Arabidopsis thaliana: one gene and its partners. The protein of the gene in region 2 interacts with the protein of the main gene of each other region in a pairwise test. Each region holds a gene or a part of one and is shown on either strand. Other genes may lie near its edges. The genes, in order: AT2G18090, bZIP6, MIF2 and AT3G50650.

The links.
Region 1: the proteins of bZIP6 (region 2) and AT2G18090 interact in a two-hybrid assay, tested with the Arabidopsis thaliana proteins (one large-scale study listed by BioGRID).
Region 3: the proteins of bZIP6 (region 2) and MIF2 interact in a two-hybrid assay, tested with the Arabidopsis thaliana proteins (one large-scale study listed by BioGRID).
Region 4: the proteins of bZIP6 (region 2) and AT3G50650 interact in a two-hybrid assay, tested with the Arabidopsis thaliana proteins (one large-scale study listed by BioGRID).

What each region holds. Positions count from the first base shown.
Region 1 is NC_003071.7:7,862,314-7,868,589, reverse strand, and holds AT2G18090 (PHD finger family protein / SWIB complex BAF60b domain-containing protein / GYF domain-containing protein), read right to left. Parts: upstream 4,397-6,276; 5' UTR 4,090-4,396; coding exon 3,800-4,089; intron 3,687-3,799; coding exon 3,607-3,686; intron 3,531-3,606; coding exon 3,343-3,530; intron 3,190-3,342; coding exon 1,273-3,189; 3' UTR 770-1,272; downstream 1-769. Other genes in the region: AT2G18100 (transmembrane/coiled-coil protein (DUF726)), read right to left, coding at 1-176, 266-347, 441-661.
Region 2 is NC_003071.7:9,730,566-9,735,282, forward strand, and holds bZIP6 (basic leucine-zipper 6), read right to left. Parts: upstream 2,836-4,717; 5' UTR 2,720-2,835; coding exon 2,036-2,719; 3' UTR 2,011-2,035; exon of another isoform or gene 1,727-2,010; intron 1,070-1,726; 3' UTR 714-1,069; downstream 1-713. Other genes in the region: GRF1 (growth-regulating factor 1), read left to right, coding at 1-576.
Region 3 is NC_003074.8:10,922,963-10,926,554, reverse strand, and holds MIF2 (mini zinc finger 2), read right to left. Parts: upstream 1,848-3,592; 5' UTR 1,542-1,847; coding exon 1,239-1,541; 3' UTR 742-1,238; downstream 1-741. UniProt on the Arabidopsis thaliana protein: Inhibits zinc finger homeodomain (ZHD) transcription factors by interacting with them to prevent both their nuclear localization and their DNA-binding properties.
Region 4 is NC_003074.8:18,805,434-18,810,236, forward strand, and holds AT3G50650 (GRAS family transcription factor), read right to left. Parts: upstream 2,811-4,803; 5' UTR 2,668-2,810; coding exon 1,039-2,667; 3' UTR 706-1,038; downstream 1-705. UniProt on the Arabidopsis thaliana protein: Probable transcription factor involved in plant development. Involved in environmental abiotic stress resistance. May increase the expression of stress-responsive genes. Binds DNA in vitro.

The DNA of each region.
Region 1 (6,276 bases), 1.9 Mb from region 2:
CGGCATTCGTTTTCGAATTCCACATGTTTCTCCATCTTAGATTCCACAGATAGAGAGCTGCTTCGAATGTTTTGATCCATAGCATCAGCAGCTTTAGCTAAGGCGGTCTCTTTCTCCACCATTTCACTAGAATCATCATCATCATCACTCACATCCTCTGAGAGTAACTTGATAAACTACAATAAACCAAAAGTAACATCCAATAAAGAAGAGCTCCTCAACATTCACAACGAAATTTCAAAATACGGAGAGAAATTAATCATACCGCACCGATGTGATCCTTAGCCTGAGTAGAAGCAGCTATCTCTTCAAGGCCATGCCAAGCTGATGAATCAATCTGAAGACATCTGAAAGCAAATTACAGAGACAGCTCAAAATGTATACATTACACACACAGAGACGCATATGAACATGACTATTCCAGATGATTTCAAGATCACCTGAGAACAGGACGGAGGAGGCCGGAAACTTCGTGGACCCAGAGATCCGCCTCATCGGAGATAGGATCACTGTCGCTGCTGATTGGCTCTCCGGTACTTCCGGTGGCCGGGATTCCCAATGGCTTTGACTGGCTGATCTGCGCTTGGTTAAGCGCGATTGCAAACAAAGCGCTTGCCGCGTATCTCTGCGACGGCGTCAAATTTGACGTAGCTTCCACCATCAACTCAGATCAACAAAAACGAAATCGAAGAAACAACAAAAAGTTTCCAAATCCAGAAACGATCAATAGAGTTCGTCTCATTTTCCAAAAACAAGTAGAATAAACTGGAGCCTACACTTGTCATGATATAAATAGATTTGAAACATTCAAAACAAAAAGAATGAAACGTTACACTATCATTATCATATATATAGAATAATAAGATGATATGATCCCTACAAATGTTTTGATTACATCCATGGACAACAATTTCTTCCCATTTTTATACTTGTTCCTAAGTACAAACAATGTAAAAAAAAAAGATACAGAAGTTGGGTATGTCTGTGCAAATCTTAACACAGGACAACGTTACAAAACCTAAATACTGAAGAAAACAATGGGTGCAGTCAAAAATACCGCGAAGAAACATCTTCTACATATGCACCACTCGTTTTTTTTCATTTTTGCTGATGATTCTGCCATTTATTTATGTTCTGTAATAATCCTGCAAAAAAAAAGAGAAGAAAGAGGGCATAGTCCACCATCGATCAGACGAATCTAGGACATTGGATGATCTATGGTAACCTGTGCCCCAGGTTATGATTTCTCTCTATGTGAACCCGAGCCCACGACTAAAAATGCACGGTGCTGTTAGATCGTGAATGCATTTGAAGATCGTTTGTGGAGCTCATGGAGTCACCTTTGCTTACATCTAGTGCTGGGCTATGTCCTTCTGCGGGACTGAAGCTATCGTTTATTGAGTGCCGGATTAATAATTCTTCAGGACCACGGAATGTCGAAGTTGGAGAAGGAAGACGTTTTTGGGACTCCATGGCTTCCACTTCTGCCAAAAGATCTGAGACTGATTCGTCGCATTCGTCAGGTCCAGCCACAATGGGTTGCCAATCAGTGGTAGTAGATGCAAAGTTGAATTTGAAAGTTGGACTAAAGAGATCTAAAAAGTCTATTTCTTGATTGTCTGGGAAAGACGTCAAACCCGAGTTCGAATCCCACACATTTGAAGCACTGCTTGGAGTTGCAGCATTCCAGTTCTGTCCACATGACTGGACTGTAGCCGTGACTTGTTTCTCAGCTGAGCCGCTAAGACTACCGTTTTGATTGCAAGCAGTCGTTGCTGCACTGTTTCCATCTGTCTGACCAGCACTCCATCTTTCATGTGGTGGCAGAGAGCAGTTTGAGTTTCTAGGTAATGTAGCCAGCGAGAGTGAACAGCTTATTGGGCTTTGTACAAGCAAAGAACTTTCAACTTTTCTTTTGTCCCAGAGAGAGATAAAACCCACAGTATCCCTTTCATTAGAAAGAGAAAAATCCAATGGCACGGCGTGGCTACAATTGTTTCCGCTTTTGTTACTCACATCCGAGCTCCTTGTGATGACACTGTTACTGCTAGAAATAACACTCTGGTCAGTGCACACTGAGTTGGGGCTGAAGTCAAGTATTCTACTCTCTATTTTAGGAACAGCCACAGACCTGTTTTGATCGTTAGCTATAGTAGCTGTCACTTCCTGCTTGGGGATAGAATGATTCTGTAATAACCCTGTTTTATGGAACTGCCCATTTAATGCGTCAGTCAAAAGTATGGAGCTGTGTTGCTGTTCACCCAACCTCCATATTCTCAGCTCTGGTGGGAAATGCCCGCTTGAATTCCATTGTCGCAGGTTATATAACGAAAATGGTCCATGAATCTTCCCATCTGGATCTCCATATAACCATACCATATTTGTATCCAAACCATCAATTGGCTTATTGGACAGAGTGGCACTTGTGTCAGGTTTTACAACTGCATGGTTTCTGCTATCAGAACTGGAAGGTCTAACTTGAATACTGTGCCCGTTCAATTGCTGTGATTCCCCTTCTTGATGCTGTTCAGATGTATTTAACCTATCACAGCTTCTGCCCGCATTAACCTGGTAAGACATAGTTTCAGTGACTCCTCCGGCTGAATTATCTGTGACTGGAGACCTAACTTGATCGATGAAGTGAGAATCAAGAAGCTTTAACATTTCCAAGTTGTCCACTCGCTCCTTTCCAAACAATCTCATAAGCTTGGAGTCACACATTATTTCAGAATTCTGAGGAGAGTTTTGTAGATTATTCCGTCTCACATACTCTAGCACGAGAGTTTGGACATCATACTTTGATAAGACAGAAATATCACCGTTTTTCATATACCCCACAAAGTCCAAAAGCTCATTGGTTGCCCAAGTAGCAGCACTAGTCAATTGTGGAAGTCTGTCACCCAAAGAACAGTTTGAATCCAAAGAAGGACCCAAATTACTCACAGAAACAGCATCCATTTTCCTTACTTTAGCACGACGTATTTTCATAACCCCAGGAGAATTTCCATCATCCTTTTCATGAACCCGACTAGTAGTTCTTCGCTTAGCGGCAGTAGAAGAAGAAGATTTCCATGGATTTTTTGCTTTGGTAAGATCATCTAACGATAAACCTAGCTTTTCTTTAAGAGAAACCCAGTAAATCTTAAAAAGATACTCCCAGCTGCCTTGATCATCAAAATCAACCTGAACCTAGAAAATGTACATGTAATACATTTAGCTAGAAGAAAGAATCCACATTAAAAAAACAAAGCGACATTACAAGAACAGACCTCAAGTTCCACAAATAACCTTGTAGTACTGCGAGTAAGAGAAAGTAACAAAATGTAGACAGGATTCTCATACCTTTTCTTTGTTAGCTTCAGCTGCATTCTCAATAAGCATTATAGTCTTCATACAAATTCCACAGAATCCTTTGTTCTCCCTTACAACTACATACTCTGAGCTTCTAACACACCTCTTACAAACTGAATACGGACAAGTATAACACATGTAGAACGAATCCTTTTGACAAGTAGTACATATGTGCCAACCTGAAACCAAAAAACCATCCTCATCACTATGAACCATCTCAAAGAAGAGAAAACAGATAAAAATTGAACAACTTACCACAATTCCATTTAGATCTCGATCTGAAGAATGCTTCAGTACGCTTAACACAAGCTGGGTGATAAGCCTTTGGACATCCCCTGACAAATTAAGAAAGAATCATCATCAGTCACAAGTAAAAGTTTCTATTTTTACAAGTAGGAATGTAATGGAGCTGGGAGAGTAACTTGTCTAAGCTCAAAACTTCACTAACCTACGATCGCAGAGAACAAGACTACCACCATCGAAGCAAACAAAGCAAACATCTTCATCTTCTCTTCTCTTCCTCGAAATCGGAGGCGAAGAAGCTTTAGCTAAAATTCTCGGCGGACGACCACGTCTACCTCTCTTCTTCAAAGAATCGGAATCTTCTTCGTCTAACTTCACATCCGAATCTAACGGAACACCACCACCATCGAAGAATCCCGGAGGAGAAGAAGAAGAATCATCTAATTTAACATCGGAAACACAATGATCGACTCTCATAAGATCGATTTCCGGCATCGATTCGTTGTTGGCTCCTCGTGAAGCCAAAGAACACTTTTTTTTTGCTTCTCAGCTCAACAAAAAGACAAGAACGAGGAAGCGGAAGATCTGAGGTTTTAAAAAAAGAAGGGAAGGTGAAGCAATCGTGGAAACCCTAACCCTAGGGTTTGGAGGAGAATTGGGAATTGGAGAAGGGAGGGAGGAGGAGGTGGAGGAGATGGTGGCGTGTAAGGAGAGAAGACACAGTGGGCACATGGAAAATGGACTTACTCGTTACTCGCCAAAAGCAAGAGAGAGAGAGATGTGACAAGGCAGTGTTTGGTTGTCTGTCTCCTTTTTTTGACTTTCTAGAGAGAGAAAGAAACAACACGCTTTTTTTTTGTTGTCTAAACGCCGCGCATATGGCTGGTTCCACGTGGGCAAAGTTGAGGCTGGTGGGAGCCACTCGCGTCTTTTCCCATAAAATAAACTATTATTATTTTTAATTTTTATTATTTTTTTAACAGAGAATCTTGTTACCACTAAAAATATATATAGGTGACTAAGCTACAAGATGCAAAAAAATCACGAGGCATTAGAAAAAATTGATCTCTGAGTTAGAGGAGTATTTTCAAATTTATATTTTAAGTAATTTAAGATTCATAATGATTTATTAATTTTTAATATGATTTTAGGTAAATTTAGAGAAATTTATGATTTGTTGTAGTCTGGTTCCCCAAATTCTACATAAAAGAATTACATTTGTGTTTTTTAATTTTATCTAAAATTTTTTTCTAAAATTCTATAAGAAATTATTCAATTATATATTTTATAAAAAAAAACTTCAATTTTTCAAATATCTTAATCCTGTCTTTCTACATTGTCGTAAAAATTAGATAAACTATGGTTAAAATTAAAACACAAAATTTTACAAAATCTCTCATAATCAACTTCGACATCATACAAACATCAGAGAATTTCGCTATAATAAATTAGAATTCGTCAATTTAGGTTTTTTACTTTGACAATTTTAGAGTTTAGGTTTGATGATTTATAATTTTATTGAAGAACATCATGTTATTTTTGTTTACAATTTGTGTTGTATAAGTTTATATATCTTTTTCAATATAAATATAGTTTGTCCAATTTCATGATAATTTTTAAAAAGGGAAATTTGTATTAACATATTTGAAATTGAGGAATTTTTTCACTATACACCCTTAAAAACTAATGATATGAATATTTTCAATAATAGTGGAATTAAAATTATTATTCAAATTATTAGTTCAATAATATTTGATTTTAGAAGATTCTTAAAATATAATTGATTGACATAAAAATTTGTTATCGTAATATATATTATTTTAAATATTATTATTTTTGTATATTTATAAAAAAATTCCACAGCTCGAATTAAACTCTTAACCCCACCATTTGTTTATTTTTATTTGCGTCGATTTAGTGGGGGAGGCTTCGTGTCTTAGTCTAACACGGACTGTTATATTAATGTAATTTATTAGATATTATTTTTTGTTAAATAATAAAGTGGACCAAAGCGAAAATGAAATTGAACTACTTTTTTTTTTTCTTATGTGCAAGATGTCGTGGTCGTAGTTTCTTGCTTTGGTCTTCTACTCGCTACCTAACCATATATCTTATCTTTAATTCTCATTTCGAGATCTTCTTTCTCTTAAAAGAAAAAAAAAATCAGCTATTAATTAGTTGACAAACTTTTATATAAAATAAACGAAGTGGACATAACGATTCAAGACTCAATACTTTATTAAAGTTGCAATGATTTCTAGCAGGATAATGTTTTATAACTAAGATTAACTGATTTTTTAGAGTTTTGTTTCATTTTTTTTTTTATAACAATAATCTTTTCCAATAGTACAAAACGACACTTGCAAAACATGAGTGTTAAAGAAACACTATGAAGTGATAGAAGATAGACCTAATAATATTAATGCGTTCTGGTCTCTAGTCTCTAGTAAGCTTTTATAGGACAAATCCATGGTAAAAGGTCAAGATTTATACGTACAACCGACTAATCTTATAGTTGATATGTCGATCGACGACGAAAAAAGATGAACATGTCACGTTTAAATATTATATGTAGTGAGCTGAAATCAAATTATAGTACATAAAACAATGAAAAATCGATTGGTATATAATATATAATTCGTGATCACATACAAACATATTATCAAACTGAAGTAATCCATT
Region 2 (4,717 bases):
ATCTCTTCTGATTCGTTACTTAATCCGTCGCATAAACAAGCCTCGTATGCAACCTCTTCCAAAGGCTTTGGATCGTATCTTGACTTCGGCAACCAAGCCAAGCACGCGGGGAATCACAACAATGTCGATTCTTGGCCCGAAGAGCTGAAATCGGATTGGACTCAGCTCTCAATGTCAATCCCTATGGCTCCATCTTCCCCTGTTCAAGATAAACTTGCACTCTCACCTTTAAGGTTATCGCGTGAGTTTGACCCCGCGATCCACATGGGATTAGGCGTCAACACCGAGTTTCTTGACCCCGGGAAAAAGACGAATAACTGGATACCAATCTCCTGGGGTAATAACAACTCCATGGGAGGTCCACTCGGCGAGGTACTAAACAGCACGACCAATAGTCCCAAGTTTGGTTCCTCTCCAACAGGCGTCTTGCAAAAGTCGACATTTGGTTCTCTTTCTAACAGCAGCTCGGCAAGCAGCACCATCATTGGCGATAACAACAATAAGAACGGTGATGGAAAAGATCCGCTTGGCCCGACCACGCTGATGAATACTTCTGCTACTGCTCCTTCTCTGTGAAACTGAAAAAAAAAAACTAAGGACAATTGCGAAAACAAAAACACTCTGTTTTTCTCTGTTTCTGGTTTTTCTTACTTGATGCATTGTTGTTTCTGTTGCTGTTTTCTTTCTATATAAAGCAAGAAGAAACTAAAGGAGAGATGTGTGTTTTTTTCTTCATAATCTTTGTTCTTTGTTTTTCCTCTTATTTGTTCTCAATCATCAAATTCTTGATTTTATTGTTCCTCTTATAGCCGTTGAGCTAAATCCCTGGTTTTAAGAAGTCTATGTACACAATGTTCTAAAACTGAAAAATATACAAATTTTTACTTTTTTCACTAACCACAAAATTAAAACCAAGTGTTAGTGTCACAAAATTTGTGATCCTTGAGAGATTTTGACGAGAGGTTTCCTAGTTGCAGACAAGAGGCAACATTGTTTGTGGATTGGACATAGAACACTTCTTCAAAACAACTGTCTCCAACTTTAGTTTTTTTTTTTTTTTTTTTGGGTTCTGTTTCTCCACTTTTGGGTCCCTGTAACTACTTTTTGCTCTTCTCTCTCTAACCCTACCTTTCACTTATTCCTGTTTTTGTTTTTCTTCAAGAAAAAATGAAATTGATTATAAAGAGTGGAGGAGGACCAATCTCTCAATGTATGGATGGTCCATAACGTTTTTAATTTGGATTTTTTTGTGTAATTTTTGGAGATTTTATTCTAACACGTGGCATGTGTGGGACGATCCAGACACTTCCACTTGCACTAGACACGACAATTCTTACCGAATAAATATCTTCACTAGATGCAAGATGCTTCAAGACTCAAGAGTACAGTATTAGATATAGTTTGGAGTACATAACCTTGTTGCTTTCATATGATAAATTTAGTGTTAGATCATTAACAATCTTTTCCCAAAATGGTTAATGGTTAATGGTTAATGGTTAATAGTTTTGCATATATTTTAAACAAATAATACGTTATTCAAATTTGCATATATTTTTCTAACTATACTTAATTCCGTCTACGTACTTGATAAAAAAAAGGCTTGTAGGAAGAATCTTGCGGTCTGTCTACTTGAGGAATAAGAAGGAATCAAAGAGGAAACAAGCTGAACATGGGAATTGGGAAGTCTGTGAAAGACTCTGGTTGACGTAGAGGTTTCATTCCAACCCTCAAAGCCGACGACTCCAACTTGATGCAGAAGGTTTTAAATACATGATAGGGTGGTAGTCGTCAACAAGAGTAGTTGATTAGGCTTATATCTTTTAGCCCACTCACTAATGGGCCTTGATAAATATGATTAGAGAGGCCCAAGTACGAAACAACAGCAAAAAAAAAACGAAGTCCATCATCTAAAGTAACACTCATATTCTCATTTACACATAAGAGTGATCAAAAGAGACACAGAAATAAAAATACTTCGCTTTTATCTAATTTTTTTTTTCCGTTCTAAACTTTTTTTTTTCTATTTTTTTTTCTTTCAAATCATATGATGATGATTGATGATCAATGATGGATTCAGCTGAAGCTGTCTGAAAATCAAAATCTGCCTCATCTCCAAGAATCTCCGTCTGAGAATCTCTTGTTCCGACAAAAGCTGATTGTTGTCCGTACACATTAATGCGATGTTGTACAAAACAATTCGAAGCCGGTTTGCGAGTTCCCGGTTTTCTAAACCGAGACGATTTGCTTCGTCTTTTAAATTATCAATGTGTCTTTGTTTACGCATCCTCGACCGCTTCGCTGATTCTCGGTTTGATTCCATCCGTTTGCGTTTACGGTCGTCAGTCACCTGCAAAACCGACCGGTTCAATTTGTTCCGGTTATGATTCGTGGCGTTACTTCGGATTTTCGTGTTTTTTGAGTCCAATTCGTCGGATTGAGGACTCGGTACGCCGTGGAAAAGGTTGGAATCATCAGAACCGGAGTTAGTTTTGATGGAACCGATACACGATTCGTCAAAACCGTTAAAATCGGTGTTAATTTTGACAGAACCGGCATCGGATTCACCAGAACAAGGACTCGGTACGACCGGTTCGAGATGGATTGTAGAGAAGAGATCGGAGCAGTTCAATTCCCAAGGAGTGAATCCGGTCTGGAAATCCGATAATTGGTTAACCAAACCCGGTTCAGTAAAGGTAAAGGCCGGTACAGTAGACATCATAATGACCGGTTTAAAATTGTTTAATTAGAGAGAAGAGAGAGAAGAGAAGGAGAAAAGGGAAGCATTGATTTGAAGGAGACTGGAATTTAAAGGAAAATTGGTAAGGGTATTTTGGTAATTTTTGAAATACTATGTATGACCGTATTTTATACGTATAACGACTTTTGAGTCATGTGGCACTATGTGGGGTTGGTATTATTTTTCAAGACCCAACTTTTATGATTTATATGAAAGTAGAAAAATATTTTGTGGGACACCAATAGCCAATAGGACTCGTTTAAGGTCACTTTCTGAAAATAAAAAAGTGATTAAAATTGTTAAACCAAATGTTTGTTATAGCTTAGTGATGAAGAAACAGTCCATATTTAACACATGCATTGTCCATTCATCTAATTTGTCGCCATTGTATTCAAATCTAGATTTACAACAGAACAAAGAAAAAGAGAGAAGTTCAAATAAATAAAATAAATTTGAGGCTCAAAAAAATGAATATGGTGTCGTTGGTCGATTGATTTATATGTGTAGTTGGTGTAATTAGTGGTTGGACATGAAACAACTAACATAAAATTCAATCACAACGTTCGTTTTTGGTTTTTATTTCAATCAAAATTTATCTGATTTTAACTAAATCCAGCTTTTTATTTCATATTGGTTCGTATCAAAAATGTTTTTTTCTTTTCCACAAAATGTTTGAGTAAGTTGTTTATATGATTTTAGTATTTGAAAGGTACTTAGAGAATCTATATATTAGTTGGTACCTGGTGTAACTACCAAACTAAAAATAAATACCGAATACTGATATATTTTCTCAATATGTTATTTTTTGTGTGTTTTTTATCAATCGTGATAAAGTAATTTCAAAATTAATTGGAATTAAACAAAATATTTATGTTTAACGAAAAGCTATTTAAGAACGAAAGAGAATCTTATTTATCTAACAAATAAATAAAAGAAAAAATAATCTTATCAATGAATAATACGTCCAACAACAAATTAATGATTTTTAAATACATTTTTGTGCTCTAAATTTTCGGTTAGTTAGTTTATTCGAAATAAGAAGATAATAAAGAAGAGAAAAACTATAGCAACGGCCACATGCCAAATCTTCAAAAGTAGTAAAGCAGAAATATATTTAGAAAACTTTTATTATATGGTTTGGTAGCATGTTAAATCAAACTTTAATCGCATAAAGATGTATCATTCAAATGCTTCCCACATTATCTTTTTAGTTTTAATAATCACAACTTCTCTTTTATTAAATATATATATTGTTGCTATTATAGAATATAAGTAGGTGATTCTACGTATTTTTTAACGCATCAAGATTTACTATTGTCTAGCCCAATTTGTTATTGAAATATCAAATCGTGTAAATCTTGTTCAGAAACTTGCGTGGGCTCGAATTTGGATGTAGGGAGATAAAACTGGCATTAGGCTAGCTAATAGGCAAAAATAAAACAAAAAATAAGAAAGACTGAAATAAATGATATCATCAGTTCATGATTTGATTTGATTTTCATGCTCTAATGCTAAATATTTTTTCTTGTGTCATTTTGATGAATTAGAGATGTCCATCTTTATTTTAAAATCGTACATTGACGCAAAATCTTCGCTAAAATAAAGAAAATATAAAAGTGGCACTGAAAATGTTAATAACTTTATTATTTGGTTTAAAATTGGTCTTCCAACCTAGATAAAATAATTTTATATAAATAATTTTTCTCTAATTGAAAGATCCTATGTAAACTAAACTGAATAAATACACACACATGGTTCTCACTCGAAGAAAACTCTTGGTCAGATTTTGGTTCACCATTCACTAAAATCTCTGGGTTGAGTCTATAAGTCTTTCAAATCCAACAAAAACAACATTCTCCAAAGAAATTAAAAGTAACTTTTTAGTAGATCTTAAAAATATGTCCTCACAATTTCGTTATAACATATGTATGTATACAACCTTTTATAAATCATAAATCAACTTAAACCACAATGATAAGT
Region 3 (3,592 bases), on a different chromosome or scaffold from region 2:
ATTTGGCATTTCTTCAGTTTATTCGTTGGTTTACTGTACTTTATTTGGGAGTATTGATTTAGATAGATTAAATGCGACTTATTATAATTTTCTAAAAAACAAAAGATCAGAAAACCACAAGCCATTATCGTGTATGATTAGTTCTAAATCTAATTTTTCTCCATCATAGCAAGTTAGCAACCAACAAGGATTAGATTTGTGGGCCTCCGCCTCCCAATTAAATTCAAATTTATTTGCCTATCTTTTATCCTCTGAAATAAAATTTGAAAAATCTCTCTTAAAGCTAAAAGGTTATAGAATATTTTAATATATACTATTTTTAATTAAAAGCTGGGAAGGCATATATCCCTGAAAATATTGGTTCTCATCATAGCATAATTAAGAAATCTGAGCTTAAATAATCTAATCGGTCTCGAGTTAACATGCCCTTCACATAAATCTGAGCTTTATGCACTTCACATAAAGCTAAATATTTTAAGATAAATCATGGAAAATAGTGTGAGACTTAACTCCACCATTTATATTTTTTAAAAATAAAGCTATAGGAGTGGTCTCAAAGGGATCAATTTAAACCTTTTTTCATCGCCTCCCAAAAAAAATATTTACTACAATCATTAGTGATTTATTTATACTAATATATACATATATATATATATATAATTAATTAAATTAGTTATTGAGATAATCAATAAATGGGTTACTATATTCAGCTACCTTATCACAAGCGAAGAACCTTCCATATATGTTAAGGAACAATCAATCTCATTCATTCATTTATCAGTAAATACACATATTGATTTTGTAACAAATTCCTTTCACAATACACTTAACAATTGTCTTGAGTGGACGACATTGAATTGAAACACGAGTACACCACACATGCTTCGTCAGCTTCGACAAAATAATCAAAATAGATCAAAATACAATAACATGACCCAACCAGAATACAAATCAAACAATATAATACATGAAAAACAACAATAATCTTAATATTTCACTTCAGAAGCCTAACCTTTTCTGAACATTCTCAAACCCCAAAAGCATCCAATTATTATAAATCTTTCAATGCTTCCACCACCTTCAATCTATAAATCTCTTATAGTTTCTTCTTAAATTCACAAAGAAACACAAGCCTTTCATATTAAAGAAGAAAAAAAAGCAAATAAAATATTTTCAGTTTCATCATCTGTATATGTAACACACAAACACACTCATAGCTAGCTCTAGATTTTTCTTATCTAATTTCCAGTAGAAGGAGGTGAATTACAGTCGCAAACAACCTCGGTTTCTATTTCTCTCCGATGGAAACTGCGATGGCAGCCACAGGCGGCGCACGTTAGCGCTGCCACGGTACCTTCCTCTCCTCGGCTTGCCATGAACTCACGGCAGCCGTCAACAGCGTAACCTCCCACCGCCGCAGCGTGGTTCTTCTGACATTCTCCGTACCTCACAGTTCTCACTGTCAGAGACGAAGCCGTCGACGAGCTTCTAGAAGGTTCCTCTGGCGAGGCTCTCCTCAACACCACCTGACGCTTCCTCATGCTTTCTCACTTCAATTCTCGTCTCAGCTCTTTCTTCTTCTTGACTTTTTTTTATGAAATCTAAACTTGTAATAATGTATATATATTAAAGAGGAAGAGAAAAATGTATAATAAAGTTTTTGTTCTTTTACTTTAATTTCTACGGCTCGAAATAGTTAGGGAGTGAAAGATCAAAACAATTACAAGAGGACCTCGGTTGTTAACCCTAACCCTAGATGTGATATTTATAGCATTTCTGATAGCAATCGACAACCAAACCTTAGATATTTTTCTTGCAACTGCATATATATATATATATATATATGTGTGTGTGTGTAGATGTACATGTCATGGTATAGATTGATGCATCATCACAACCAATCAGACCTACTAAGCTAATCTACCAGAATTTTGTTTTTGATGGGTATATCATATATGTATATCTGTCTTTTGTAATTAAATGACCACAACTATGCATTGAATTATAATTACAAGTTTTGTTTTCTTGTTACCAACCTAAATATGGTGGATGTTTTCTTTTTGGCTCATGTTATACAAAATTCAGATTATGTTTAAAGTATCGTAATTTTTGTTTTTGGAATACTAAGACACTTTAATATTGCAATAATGCGTACTAGTACTTGTCTCATCCGGTTAGAAGAAATTGAATAAGTTTATGCTGAATCGAAATTGGAATCTACTGATCTCCAGTTAAGAAAGAGATTATATTTGTCATCGTTCTGATTTTTGATCCGAATGGACGGACCAAAATGTCATAACTCCAGAGATACAAAAACAAAACATTCACGAGACATGGAGCCACCACTTTGTGAGTTAGGCACCCGTCTTTAGTTGATAATATCACCCTTATACATTGTATTTGGATCTTCCAAACTTCTGCTAGATTCCACTTTCGCAGAATACGTACTCTTACATTCCAACAAATATATATTGTGCGCTAACTAGTAACCATAACCATAAGCCATAGAATAAAATGAAGTGGATGAAGAATTACAACCTGCAACAGTAAATATATTACGACAAAAATTAAATTATGTGTGGAAGTTTGTGGATGCAACTTTTGTTCGATTTATTTTGCGAGAAAACCCTAAAATGATGAGAAAGCTTTTCTTTAAGACCAAACAAAGTGATTGGTTTTAAAAGGAAGGAAACAGCTAAGCTTGTCTTTTTAAGACCTAATATGTACTGTGGTGGCCCCCTTTAACATTCATCCTCTTTAATCCTCTTTTTATTTCCTTCTTTCATTCTATTTTATTTCATAATTAGACAGGTGGTTACGAAAATTATTTATACGTATCATAAAGAATCGAACTTGGTATCGAGATCGAATATATATGCATAGACCAAAAAGTGATTATGTCGGCTATGTGATATCTTGACCCACTTCTATAGTATACCCGAGGAATTGTACGGATTTAAATAAAAAAAATCAATTTTCGTTGTAATCTAAGTACCAATCAATATATTTAAGATTGTATGATGAATAGTCATGAACAAAAATAGAAGTGTGTATAAATGTATATACATTTGGACCTAACAACGTGGGACTGATAAGTTGGGCTACCAAACCTATTTTGTACATCATGAGGACAACGCAATCCTTCACGATCGCTTGCTCCTTTGCAGTTACGTATCGATTTTTTTGAATTACACATGCATACATTCATTCGTTTTTCGGTTAGACATCAAATTTTCTTATTCATGTGTTCCGTCAATCCTTTGATATTTTTATAAGAAATACATTGATATTTTCTCCTTCCAAATTAGATATAAACATAAATCATGAGATGGTATATAACAATAATTGCATAACCAAACGTTGTTGGTACTTTATAATATATATTTAAAAAAAAAAAAAAACTGTTGTAGTTTCATTGTTCCACACTAAACGTTGTTTCATGAGATTAACATCGGCTGAAAAAAAAAAAAAGTTTCTCTCCCAGGCACGAGTTTCGAGGTAACTAAATGAAGCAAATGTTTTCAAAAAAACGGGATCTTACCCACTTTTTTTAGCTATTCTTGGAAACTCCCACTTCTCCCTCGCCGACATC
Region 4 (4,803 bases), on a different chromosome or scaffold from region 2:
ATTACTTTATAGTCTATATCATTTTCGATTTCTAATTCAAAAGCACTTAAAATGAGTGGATTAGATCATTTTTTTTTTAATTTTTATTTCAGGTATCATCACACTTATAGATGTTGGATTCCTAACCATGATTTTCTAAAAAATGAAAAATCAAGCTGGCAAATTGTAAGCAATTAGCTGTGAAGAGTCAAGACTTGGTTGGGTTATTTGCAAAATACTTCTATGTATTGTTTTTGTTTGTGGCTAATATAAATAAAGGAATGGGACAGAGATTAGGCCTGTTTATTTTGGGCCAAGCATAAACAGAGTGGGCTTTTATCTTCGTTAGGGAAGTAAAATTTACTATCAGACTCACAGACAGAGTCAGAGTAGTGGCTGAGAGATATAGGAAATGGGGACCAAAAGACCACTGAAGAAGAAATTCGAGAGTTGACGTCATAGTGGCACGTTTGAAGTTCGAACAAAGAGAAACAAGACTGACACAGAAAGATTGAAATACTTGTCAGTGCGCCTTCGTATTTTTGGCTTTTACTTCACTGACAAATAATTATGCTCCTATTTTATTATTCAGTGAATGGTACAGAAAACATTGGTATATAATTTTCATGAAGTAAACAAAACTATATTAGGCAAGAAAAAGTGGAGACAAAATGATGAAAAGGGAGAAGAAATGGTGTGTTAGTGAAAGATCTTAGTGCAATTCAAATTTCAGTCTCTTTTATGGGACCATAATACTCTCATTTCAAAATCAAACTTCATCACCTCCTTTCCTCAATTTCAGGGGTTAATTCTAGTGTTTTTTTCATTCACATGAATTTGGTTTAGCTTCTTTCGTTTATACCAAAGAAATCTAGTCAAATGTTACATACAATATATATTACAAATGAACATAAACGACAAACCATCATCACTCCAAGCACTAGATAAAAAAGAGTAAGAGAATAGGCTAGAGACTAATTAAACATCCAAATCTAACCCCAAACAATTCAATTCTAAAAGCTAACTCAAAATACTAGATTAACTTATCGGACCAAGTAGTCAACGCCAAGAGGAAACGGTGAGGAGAGGCACATTGTTCCAAGCCAAGGAGATGAAACCTGGCTCCGATTCAACAAGTGAATACAATGTACTATAATTGTAGTTCCATAGTAGCAGCTTCGCTTGGCTAACCGCGTAATTACTCGGTTTAACCGGCTCAAATCCAGCTTTCTCCATCAACACTCTCCATTGTTCTTTCTCCTCCATTAACCCAAACCGGGTTCCCGGTTTATTATTATCATCATCTGATCGGACCAAATCCATAATCCTCCTACCGAACAACACTCTCTCCACTCTCAGCCTTTCTTTCGAATCTCGATCCAAATTCGGTTCAAGCGATTCAAAAACCGCGGAATAAAACCGGAGAGAGTTCTTAACCCGGTTAGCAAATTCAACCCGGTTTAAACTGACTTCGTATTCTCCAAGCGTCACAATCCTCGGGTTTAACGATCTAGCTAACCGGAGCGCCGTACCAACAGTCGTCGCTGTTTCATCTAGAAGCTTATAAAGCTCAAGCATAAAATTCACAACCAAAACCTCATCCGGGTCAACCCGAAAACTTGACCCGTTTAGTAATTGAATCGGAGTCAGAACCGGATAAAACTCGAAATTGAGATCCAAAATCGCCGCGAAATCACGGAGACGGTTTCCCGTAGCGATCAGAGACGGTCCCGGTGAGTCTCCTAGAGACGGAGCGGGTATACCCGAAATCCGGATCCGGGTGGGTTTACCAGAAGAACGGGTCGCTAAAGCTTGTAACAGAGCAGACCATTGAATACCTTGAAAAATCCCGAAATCGACTATGTGAATGTTGTTTGATTGATTCGTAGCTTCGAGAATTGCTTGATTCGCTGTTAAATGAGCGAACTTTGAATATGGACATGCGTCGTTTAAGGTTTTGTATGAGAGAATGAAATCTTCTAGGGATGACGACGACGATGACGACGGAGACTCTGTTTCTTTATGAGACAGAGCTTCTGCGAAGTAATACCCGACTCGTTGTATCGGGTCGCCTGATTCGGACACGGATTCTTTGATCCGAATTAGTGTGTCCGGTTTAGTTTCCGGTTTACGTGCATAATCGTGGATAGCTTTAAAAATCGGCTGGTTTAGATCAAAATCCGGCTGCGGCGGGGGAGGAGGAGGATGTTGTGGTGATGGCGGAGATGGAGACCATATAGCGGTGGAAGCTGGTGGCGGAGGGAGTTGTTGACTCGCTGAGTCATCTTTGTTGACTCGGTTGAGATATGAAGGAGCACTGAGTCGACTCGGGAATGAGACGAATGGATCATGGCCGTAGATTGGGAAGTCTGGATTGGTTTGTGACGCATCTCCACCGTTGATCAAACTCTCCATCCACTCGTCGGAGTCAAACTCCTCGGAAGCGACGGCTGCGTTTTGATGATGCTCCAGGTGTGGAAAGTGAAAACCTGGGTCGTTGGTTACTTGAAACGGGTCGGAGAAACCCGAACCGGGAAGAGTAAACCCGAAGGATGGATTGGGCCAGGGGTTGGGTTCTTGTTCTTGTTCTTCTTGTTGTTGATGTTGTGATTGTTGTTGCTGCTTCTGTTTGATGAGTTGTTGTGCTATAGCCATTAAGTTTCCGCTGTCGGTGCACATATACGCCATTCTCCGACTCACTTTCGCCGGCGATGAAGGCGTTTTTTTGTCTGTTATTTGGTGGTGATTGAGTAAGGCCCAGAGAGAGAGAGGGATATGAATGAAACCGGAGAGATTTTAGTAGGAAGAAAAAAGTAAGAAAGTGAGTATTTTCATTTTGATTTATCATTTTCTTTTTTTTTGTCATCCGATTTATCATTTTCGAGTACTGTATTTTTAATCAATTACCACTTTAGTTTAAAAGTACAAAATTACGTTATTAACTGCAAGAAATGAAGAAACTATAAAACCAACAACAACAACAAAAAATGAAGAAACTAACTAACATAGTTTACTAAAAAACTCAGTTTTGTATTTAATTATTTTCAAGAATTTAATAATAGAAATGTAATTTATCAAAATATCAATTGAATAATTTCTATATCTCATGAATTTGTAGTTTCGTATAATCTTACAAATTTATTCAGAAACCTTTTGACCAAAAAATAAAAAATACATAGGTTTTTTTTTGTTAAATAATTATTACCACTCTGTTAATATGGGTAAAAAAAAGAGTTGACGTTATGAAAAAAAAGAGAGAGTAAAACGATATCTCACTTATGGGACCCACAGACACGATGACGTCATGTATCGGCAGTTACGTATCGAAGAGTGTGACCTCATCTCCACCGTCTAGAATCAGATCAATGGCTTTGGCTGAAATGGTGAATGTGACACGTCGACAACTGTCTTCTGCTACTTGTCACCTGCATGTCGCCTGCAACTTTTCTGTCTTTTTTCATTTTAACTAACAGTATTATAAAGGTAAAAAGATTGATGTAAGAAAAGTAAAAAGAATTAGGTTATTATCTTCTGCTTTCAAGCCGCAAAGGTCAAGGTTTTTCAAAGCTGTTTCTTATCAACTAAAAGGGTCGTTAAATTGGACTTTGGTTAACAAATTTCAGTGACTTCATTGGTTTAGTTTCAGTTACTTTTGTAAAAAAACCTTTCGACAAGTTAAGCTAACATCTTGAATATGACTTGAGCAAGCAAAAATTAAACAATAGACATGTTTTATTTGTATACGCATGTCTTTTTTATCTCAACGTTAGTGTTGTGGAGGACGGCTTGTGGGTCCGTAAGTAGGCCCATATACAATGGAGCAAAAGCGATTTGTGGCGGGCTCTACTAGTATCTGTTGTTGGTGGACGAACTTTGACGAAGAAAATGTAGTAGCCATTAGCCAAAAGCTAAAAATTACACAAAAATACCAAAAAAAAAACACAAGCAAAGAAGAAACAAGAAAAGAGTCCAAAGAGGATTATAGAATTTAAAAGTCTTTCAATAACAAACCAAGTTTTATGAATTATCATTCATACACGACGCATAGTTCGAGAATTTGCTTATTTGAGGTTTGAGTGTGGAAGCTCTTTGTGACTTTGCAATTTCTAAAAACCTAAAGCGAATGAAATAGAAAAGAGCAATAGCGAACAAAAAGCACATGGGAACGACACTTGACTCTTTGAGACATCACTCTTTTCATTTCATCGTTGTATCCGCGTCAAAAGGCCTACTTCTCCACTACTTATAACTTAAATATCTAAATTACATTACTAAACATGGTATATGGTCCCTGGCCCAAGTCTACTTTTGATTTTCACTTTTGACATTTTTTACTACAAAGTGCCATGGACTGTTCTAAATTGGTAATGATTTCAACAAGGAGAATGAAGAAGATGATATTTTTGAAAAGGACTTGTCTTTGAAAATGGCAATCCCACTTTAGTGTTTAACCATTGCACCTATCTGCAAGTGGACTTGGAGAAAATAGATAGAGAGAGAGAGAGAATGAGTGGTGTATGAAAAGGACATGAGTAAGAATGAAAGGGTTTGATTTGTCTTTTCTTTCTATCCAAGTCATCGGTGGGGTTTCTTATGTATGAACAAAGAGTGGCATTGAGTCATCCCCAAGAAAGTCTCTCTATATATTTACCATTTTTGTCACATTCTTTGCTTTTTTTTTTAAATACTAATTTTTAGTTTCAACTCTTACCAACTAAAATTTACCTATTTTTGTCTCCTCCTTAGCTTTTTACACTTATTTTCGTTTGAACCTTTAATTAACCAAAATATATTTACTATTTGAATCAGTTAAACAGAAATTAT